Macaca fascicularis: one gene and its partner. The protein of the gene in region 2 interacts with the protein of the main gene of each other region in a biochemical or structural test. Links are inferred from orthologs where the notes say so. Each region holds a gene or a part of one and is shown on either strand. Other genes may lie near its edges. The genes, in order: SIRPA and MATK.

Region 1 (3,901 bases), on a different chromosome or scaffold from region 2:
CAGGGAGTTCAGCCCATGTTCTCAAGTGTGGCACCCTCCCTGCCCCCCTGCACAACAGCAGGACCAGGCATTTAACCAGGAGGCTTGGGGCAGGAGGGGAGGTGGTGGTGCTACTTTGCATAGGTCTTTAACCTGGGAATCAGGAATTCAAATCTTGTTGCTACCCCAAGCTTTGCTGTGTGGCCTTAAGCAAACCTATTCCCTCTCTGGGCCTCAACGTTCTGTCCATTTACAGGGCTGGGCCCTCTCTCACCTTGTGTTATTCCTACCCTCTTAACTGCCACTGCGTGAAGCAAAATTCTCTCCCATTAGCAGCGGGTCTTGAACTCGTGTTCCTCCCACAATGCGGAGCCTACTTCTGCCAGGTGACCAGGACACTGACACTCCCCATCACTGACCTGGCTGCTACAGGAACGGCGTTCCCTCCAGGAAAACCGAGATTCTGTCCTCTCCAACTCCAAGCCTCTGGCTCCGGCTCCCACCCCTCATCTTCTTCCGGGCCTGTCCTTCTCCTGGAACCCATGCCTTCAGGGCCCCGCTCTCCCACACACGCCCCCTCCTGGGCCTCCCCACCCCCTCAATCTGCCCTCCACCACCGAGACACCTGGCCAGGGGGCTCCCACCTCCCTGGGAAGGCCCCGGCCCTTCCCCTCTGGTTCCCCGCCACAGCCCCCTTCTCGCTCCCTCTCCTCCCCGCTCCTCTTTTCCAGGCGGCACCGAAGTCCTTCCTACACACACGCTATTTTTGTACCATCACTCTCTTCTTCCTCTCCCCTTCCCCCTGCGTTCACTTACTTCCTTCTTTTCCTTCACCTCGGCCCGGCTCTGAAAGGATCGGGCCCCTCCGGCCCGCACCCATCCCCAAGAGGGGCCTTCAGCTTTGGGGCTCAGAGGCACGACCTCTTGGGGAGGGTTAAAGGCAGACACCCCCCGACCCCCGCGCCTCCACTCCCCGACTCCTTCGCCGCCTCCAGCCTCTCGCCAGTGGGAAGCGGGGAGTAGACGCGCGGCCAGAATCCGGAGGCGAGGGGAGGTCGGCCGCAACTTCCCCAGTCCACCTTAAGAGGACGATGTAGCCAGCTCGCGGCGCTGACCTTAGAAAAACAAGTTTGCGCAAAGTGGAGCGGGGACCCGGCCTCTGGGTAGCCCCGGCGGCGCTTCTAGTGCCTTCCAGCCCTAGCGGGCGGCGCAGGTCCGAGCCTGGCAGGGACGGGGAGGGGCAGAGCGGGACGGGTCGGGGCTGGGGACGAACCGCGCGGGCTTCTGAACTGGTACATCGTCGGAGCCGGAGGCTCGTCTAGTCCCGAGCCCGAGCGGGCTGCGGCGGCTCGCGGGGCCGCCTTCACGGGCAGCAGCCGGGGGCCCGCGCGGGGGTGCCGGGGCTCGGGCGCCGGCGCGGGGGGCGACGCTGCCCTCCCCGGCCGGGCGCGCTGCTCGCAGCCCTCGCTCCCTCCCCCGGGGCGCGCTGCTGGCTGGCGCGCAGGCGGGCGCTCGCTCGCCGAGAAGGTGCCGGCGGGGCCGGAGCCCCGAAGCCTCCCCGGGCGGCGGGAAGACGGGAGGAGGGGGGAAGGGAAGGAGGGAGGGGGCCGGGCTGCCGGGAGGGCGGGGGCAGCGGCCGGGACTGCGGGCCGGGAGCGAGCTCAGCCGCCCGCGCCGTGTGGAGCCCGGGCGGGGCAGGTGGGCAGCGGCGGGGGCGGCTCCGCGCGGCCGGGCTCGGCCGTGCTGCCCCTCGCCCCTGCTCGCGCGGTCCTCTCTCCCGCGCTGTCTGTCTCGGTCTGCGCGCCGCCTCGCTCACTCCTCGCTCGCTCGCTCTCCCCCTCTTTCTCCCCCTCTCGCCTCTCTGTGTCTCTGGCTCTCTGCCTGGCTCCCTTGGGTCTGTTTCTCTCTCCTGCCGCCTCTCTCTGGCCGCCCCTGGCTTTATTTCTCGCGCGCTTGGGGTCTCTCCCCGTCTCCGTCTCTCGATTTCTCCTGGGGGGCGGGGAGGGGGGTCTCCAAAAACCGCGGCGGCGACGGCGGCTCCTGAGCCGCTCCAGGCGCCCGTTCCGGAGTCGGGGGGAGGCCCAGCCGGGAGGGGGGAAGGGGGGGAGTCTTAGTCATTTCCCCGCTCCAGCCTGCTCCCGCCCGAGCGCGCACTCACGGCCGCTCTCCCTCCTCGCTCCGCAGCCGCGGCCCATGGAGCCCGCCGGCCCGGCCCCCGGCCGCCTCGGGCCGCTGCTCTGCCTGCTGCTCACCGCGTCCTGCGCCTGGTCAGGTAAGCACCCCCCGCTCCCCACCGCTGCCCTCCCCAAACTGCGGGCTCAGGCCTCTCAGACTAGCACTGGGACCCATTCGGCTAATGCTGAGCAGTAATAGGGAGAGAGACGCCTGTAACCAGCGTTATAGATGCGGAAACTGAGGCCCAGAGAGGGCCAGCGACATGTCCAAGGTCACACAGCCAAGGGTAGAATCCAAGTCTCTTCTCTGAGAGTTTGTCTCTGTGGACTCTGACTGTGTGCACTGTGCTGGGCACTGAGACAAAAGAGCTGAGTTGCTTCACTCAGCCCCTGCCCAGTCCAATGGGGAAGGCTGACTGACAGTGGCTTTCAGAGTAGGGCGGTCCTCCTTCCCCAGAATCTCTCCCCATGGACATACGGCTTTCCACGTTTGACTTCAGGGTGTGAGGGGAGGAGGTGAGGGCAGAGGTTCCCCCAATGCTGCCTGGAATGGAACAGAGACAAGCTGTTGCAATTAGGGAAGAGTGAGCCCTCCCTCTGGTGCGCCAAGTAAACCAGTGTTAGTGTGTGCCTGGGAGAGAGGGAACCGGGAGGCCACGGTAACCCCACAGCGAGCTGCTGCAAGCAACAGATCCTTATGTAAAAACACGGTGAATTGTCCCTGTGGTTGCCAAAGCCTCTCCCTGGTGGTCTTGCTCCTCGAGGCGCTCCCAGCTCCCACTTCCTCCTGCCTTCCCCGAGCTTCCAGGCAGCTCCCTGCAGTTCAGGTGCTCCGCGGGGATGTTACCTGTGGCTCTGGGCATGTCTTTCTGTTGGCCTACATCAAACACCTGGCTGTCGCCGGCAGGCGGGCTCTGAAGGCTACTGTGTATGTTCACCAAAGGGTGAGGTCACCATTCAGGAGTCCTTCTTCTTAAATGGGTTTTGCAAAACCATGGGTCTCCTGGGAGGGCACTGGCTTGGGGGCGGGGGGAGCAGAGAAATGGCGTTAAGGGAGTTGGGAGGGAGAGAATGGGGATCCTGTTTTTTGTTCTCTTGAAGCTATGTTGTAGGCAGAGGGGTCTCTCTGTACCTCCCACCCTTGAGGAGGGAAGTAAAGATGAGCTCAGTGTCCAACACCCCCTTTTGCATTTGCCTAGAGATGGTAACCATCTGATAGCAGGGAGAAAGGGAGAACTAGCAAAGAGTGGGTGGAAGAAGAAGTGGGGGGTGGACAGCTGCTTCTCCCTGCCCTGCAGTTTCCCCTGAAACCCAGGAATTCACATAGGTATCACCCCACCCCACTCCCCCCCAACCCCACCCCCAGTTGTTTTCAGTTATAGTTGGGTCCTTGCTGGGTGGAAGGGAGCACTGATACAGTTCACGTCTCTCCAGTGAGTGGCATCTCCTATCTGCTCCTTCCTGCCTGAGCCGGCCATTTGTACCCTGCAAAAGTCTGAGTTCCTGCCCTGCCATCCTTCCTGGCCTGGAAATGCACAAGTGTCAATCACAAGTGCTTAATTTTCCTGAAGAAGGGAATTGGGCCCCAGTTAATTTCTAAATGTCTATTCCAGACCCTTCTCCGACCAGGAGCCTGTGGTTCAGTCCCTGGCAAATGAGCAGTGACGCTGATTAGCAAGTGTTCAGATGGGCAGCCTGCCTTTCCTGGGGCACTGGCTGGGAACACCAACACCTTTCTTGTGAGCACA
Region 2 (3,801 bases):
GCCCTCCTGGGTTGACCCTCACTCTCCGGTCTCCTAATTGATTCCTCCCCCAACGCCGCCCACAATCGAGTCTAGCTCAGCCTTCATGCATGAAGGAAGTCTGGTCATTCTTCACCTCAGTCCTGAGCCCATGCCTTTTTCAGAGATGGAGAAATTGAGGCCCAGAGGGAAGCTAAAAGGAACAATTACGGGCCAAGAGCTTCCTGGGGAGGCGGAGCCATTGCCCTTGGAGTTTCTGAGAGGCCAAGTGACATAGCCAGGGTCATACAGCAGAGCTGGGGGGACCCCAAAGCCCCAGGGGTGTGTGAAGGAGGGCTCACCCCGTGTTTGAGAGCCTCGGGCGCCGTCCACTTGACGGGCAGCCGGCTCGAGTCCAGCCCTTTCCGCTCTGCTTTGGCCAGGCCAAAGTCGCTGACCTTGGCCACCAGGTCCTCGGAGACCAGGATGTTGCGGGCGGCCAGGTCGCGGTGCACCAGCTTCTTGCTCTCCAGGTACTCCATGCCCTCGGCCACGTGCCTGGGGGGAGCAGGGGGCAGTGGGGGCTCAGGTGCCGGGACGCCTGCATTCACGGCTCAGAAAGCTCTGGGTGCCTGGGCCACAAGCTCAGAAAGCCTCCCTGCCCCGTGCCTCAGTTTCCCCTTGATGGATCTTGGAATCTGCCCCCCGACGACCCCCACGCCCCGGCACCCTGAGAGCCCCACTTACAGGGAAAACTGCAGGAGCTGAGCGGTGTTCACGAGGGCTCGGCCCCGGGTCCGCAGAAAGTTCACCAGGTTGCCCTGTTGGGGGTGGGAGACAGCCGTGGGGGATGTTAGGGCTGCTCTGCCGTGTGGGACCCCCTCCCCGCCTGAGCCCCGCCCCACCTTGCTCACGTGCTCCATGACAATGTACAGCCCCTGGTGCAGGATCACGCCCAGGAGACGCACCAGGTTCTTGTGTTGCATCTTCCTGGGGGCGGTGGGGTGGGCGTGAGGGCGGGGCTGGGACCCCCCCATCCCAGGGTCCCCAGCCCCCACCCCGGGACTCACGTCATGACGGCCGTCTCATCCAGGAAGGCCTGGGCCGTCACGTCGCACTTGATATTCTTCACGGCTACCTTTTGCCCCAGGTACTCACCCTGCAGGACGGCTTGGGGGTGGGGGCAGGGAACGGGGTGAGATCAGGACCCCCAACAAACAGCGACAGAGAGACAAACGGACAGGCCCACTCACACCGGTGCCCATGTAACACTCACACAGCTGCGGGTCCCCACGCTCCCCATCCCCCCCACCCTCACAAGCTCCAGACCCAAGATCAAAGAGAACCGTCTGGTCCTCACGCGGTGGCTCACGCCTGTATTCCCAGCACTCTGGAAGGCTGAGGCAGGCAGATCACCTGAGGTCAGGAGTTCAAGACCAGGCTGACTAACATGGAGAAATCCCGTCTCTACTAAAAATACAAAACTAGCCGGACGTGGTGGCACATGCCTGTAGTCCCAGCTACTCGGGAGGCCGAGGCAGGAGAATCGCTTGAACCCTGGAGGCGGAGGTTGCAGTGAGCCAAGATCGCGCCATTGCACTACAGCCCGGGCAACAGAGCGAAATTCCATCTCAAGAAAAACCAGAAAAAAACAAAACAAAACAAAAAAAACCAAAAACAAAAACAAAGAGAGAACCATCTAAGCCAGGGGTCTGTGAACCTCCACCCCCCAGGGGCCAAATCTACCCTGTCAATTCTTTTTGCAAGACCTTTGAGCTCAAAATGTTTTTTGCATTTTTATTTTTAAAATATTGATACAGGGTCTCACTCTCTCACCCAGGTGAAGTGCAGTGGCATGATCACAGCTCAGTGTAGGTTCAAATTCCTGGGCTCAAGGGATCCTCCCATCCCAGCCTCCTGAATAGCTGGGACTACAGGCATGCTCCACTGTGCCTGGTTATTTTTTTTTTTTTGTACAGATGGGGGTCTTGCTATGTTGCCCAGGCTGGACTTGAACTCCTGAGCTCAAGGGATCCTTCTGCCTCGACCTCCCAAAGTGCTGGGATTTCAGGCATGAGACACCACGCCTGGCTGGTTTTTGGGTTTTTTGTTTTTTTTTTGAGATGGAGTCTCGCTCTGTCGCCCAGGCTGGAGTGCAGTGGCGCTATCTCGGCTCACTGCAAGCTCTGCCTCCTGGGTTCACGCCATTCTCCTGCCTCAGCCTCCCGAGTAGCTGGGACTACAGGCACCCACCACCACGCCCAGCTAATTTTTTTGTATTTTTTTTTAGTAGAGACGGGGTTTCACCATGTTAGCCAGGATGGTCTTGATTTCCTGACCTTGTGATCCACCTGCCTCGGCCTCCCAAGGTGCTGGGATTACAGGCGTGAGCCACGGCGCCTGTCTGGTTTTTGCATTTTTAAATGGTTGTAAAAACAAATCAAAAGATGAGTACTGTTTCAGGACATGTGAGCATTATACAAAATTCAAATTTCTGGCCCATAGTTTTCATGGCCATGCCCATATGTTTACATATTGTCTGTGGTTGCTTTCACTCCACAAGGGCAGGATTCAGCAGCTGTGACAGCAGCTCCCTGACACATGAAGCAAAAAATATTATTACAGAGAGTCTGCTGACCCCTGATCTAAACCCCAGAGTCTTCCAGAATAATAATTTCAGGGAATGGTGTTCCAAACATTCCAAACAGAGGGACTGACCATACAAGACCCTGGCAGTGTGAAGTCACTAACATTGACTGCTTGAGTTCATTGACCCCTCATGACAGCTGCCATTACCCCGTGTTCCAGAGGGGGAAACTGAGGCTCAGAGGATTTGCATGTCTTCAGTTGCACAACTAGTAGGTTGTTAAGTATGGGTTTGAATTCAGCTCTGTGACTGCAAAGCCTCAATATGCACCTCCCACCTTCCTTCAGCACCCCCAACCCGGTCCGCCACTCACCTCCAAATTCTCCCTCTCCGATCTGCGCTCCCAATGTCAAATGCTGCAGGTTCAGTAACCAGCCCGCTGTGGAGTGAAGACCCAGTCAGAGGGGTAATGGGCCCCCCAAACCCTCCCATTGGGGGTTCTACTTGGTGAGAGACTAGGTGAAGTCTCTCACAGTGCTGCAGCTGTGGATACACATTTGAATGGCTGCTGGACCTGGCAATGCCCCTAGGACGTATCAGAGACACCCCACTCCTGGTACCAATTACTGTTGTCGCAACAGAACTATCTCAGGTTGACCTGAGCAAAAACGGGCTTATAGGAGGGATAGTGGTGTGAATGGTCAAAGCTGGGGGCCTGCCTGGCTGAGACCCTCAGATTCCACATTTGCCTTCCAGGAACTCCCTGTCAGGCTCAGGGAGCAGTGCCAGGAAACACTTCAGGTCTCAGGTCTCAAGAGAGAAGAGCTGCCCTTTTCTCTTTGGCTCTCTTGTCCCTCCAAATACCTGCTGGGCTCTTCCCTACACAGTTCTTTACCTCTGACCACTCAGAAACACACACAGAGCAAAAAAAAAGAAAAAACAAACAAACAAACAAACAAACATGGAGACCCATAAAGGTTCCAGAATATTCCAGGGCTCTGGCCTCCCTGACCCTTCTCCCAAGCACTCCTGTGTTGTCCCCTCCACTGTCCTCTGGTTGGTTCTGCAGGCGTTCTCTTCTCCCTCCAGAAAGTAACCCCTCCAAATGCCATGGTCTTAAGGGATCATTGGTCAGGGTGATGCTAGTGTCCACCTGGGTGCCATCCCTGATGGATACAGATTTCCCTGGGAGAGATGTACTTTCGAGGAGACAGACATGGGGTGGGAAGAGGCATTTGCTTTTAACCTTAAACACT

The links.
Region 1: the proteins of MATK (region 2) and SIRPA form a complex in vitro, tested with the Homo sapiens proteins (3 studies listed by BioGRID, with this or other methods). The link is inferred for Macaca fascicularis from reciprocal best matches to the Homo sapiens genes MATK and SIRPA.

Annotation. Positions count from the first base shown.
Region 1 is NC_088384.1:85,409,460-85,413,360, reverse strand, and holds the start of SIRPA (tyrosine-protein phosphatase non-receptor type substrate 1), read left to right. Parts: upstream 1-1,125; 5' UTR 1,126-1,252; coding exon of another isoform or gene 1,253-1,735; exon of another isoform or gene 1,736-1,873; intron 1,874-2,133; coding exon of another isoform or gene 2,134-2,172; coding exon 2,173-2,251; intron 2,252-3,901. Other genes in the region: uncharacterized protein, read right to left, coding at 1,253-1,735, 2,134-2,174. UniProt on the Homo sapiens protein: Immunoglobulin-like cell surface receptor for CD47. Acts as docking protein and induces translocation of PTPN6, PTPN11 and other binding partners from the cytosol to the plasma membrane.
Region 2 is NC_088393.1:4,502,069-4,505,869, forward strand, and holds part of MATK (megakaryocyte-associated tyrosine-protein kinase), read right to left. Parts: intron 2,985-3,801; coding exon 2,919-2,984; intron 1,129-2,918; coding exon 1,029-1,128; intron 949-1,028; coding exon 864-948; intron 780-863; coding exon 706-779; intron 517-705; coding exon 321-516; intron 1-320.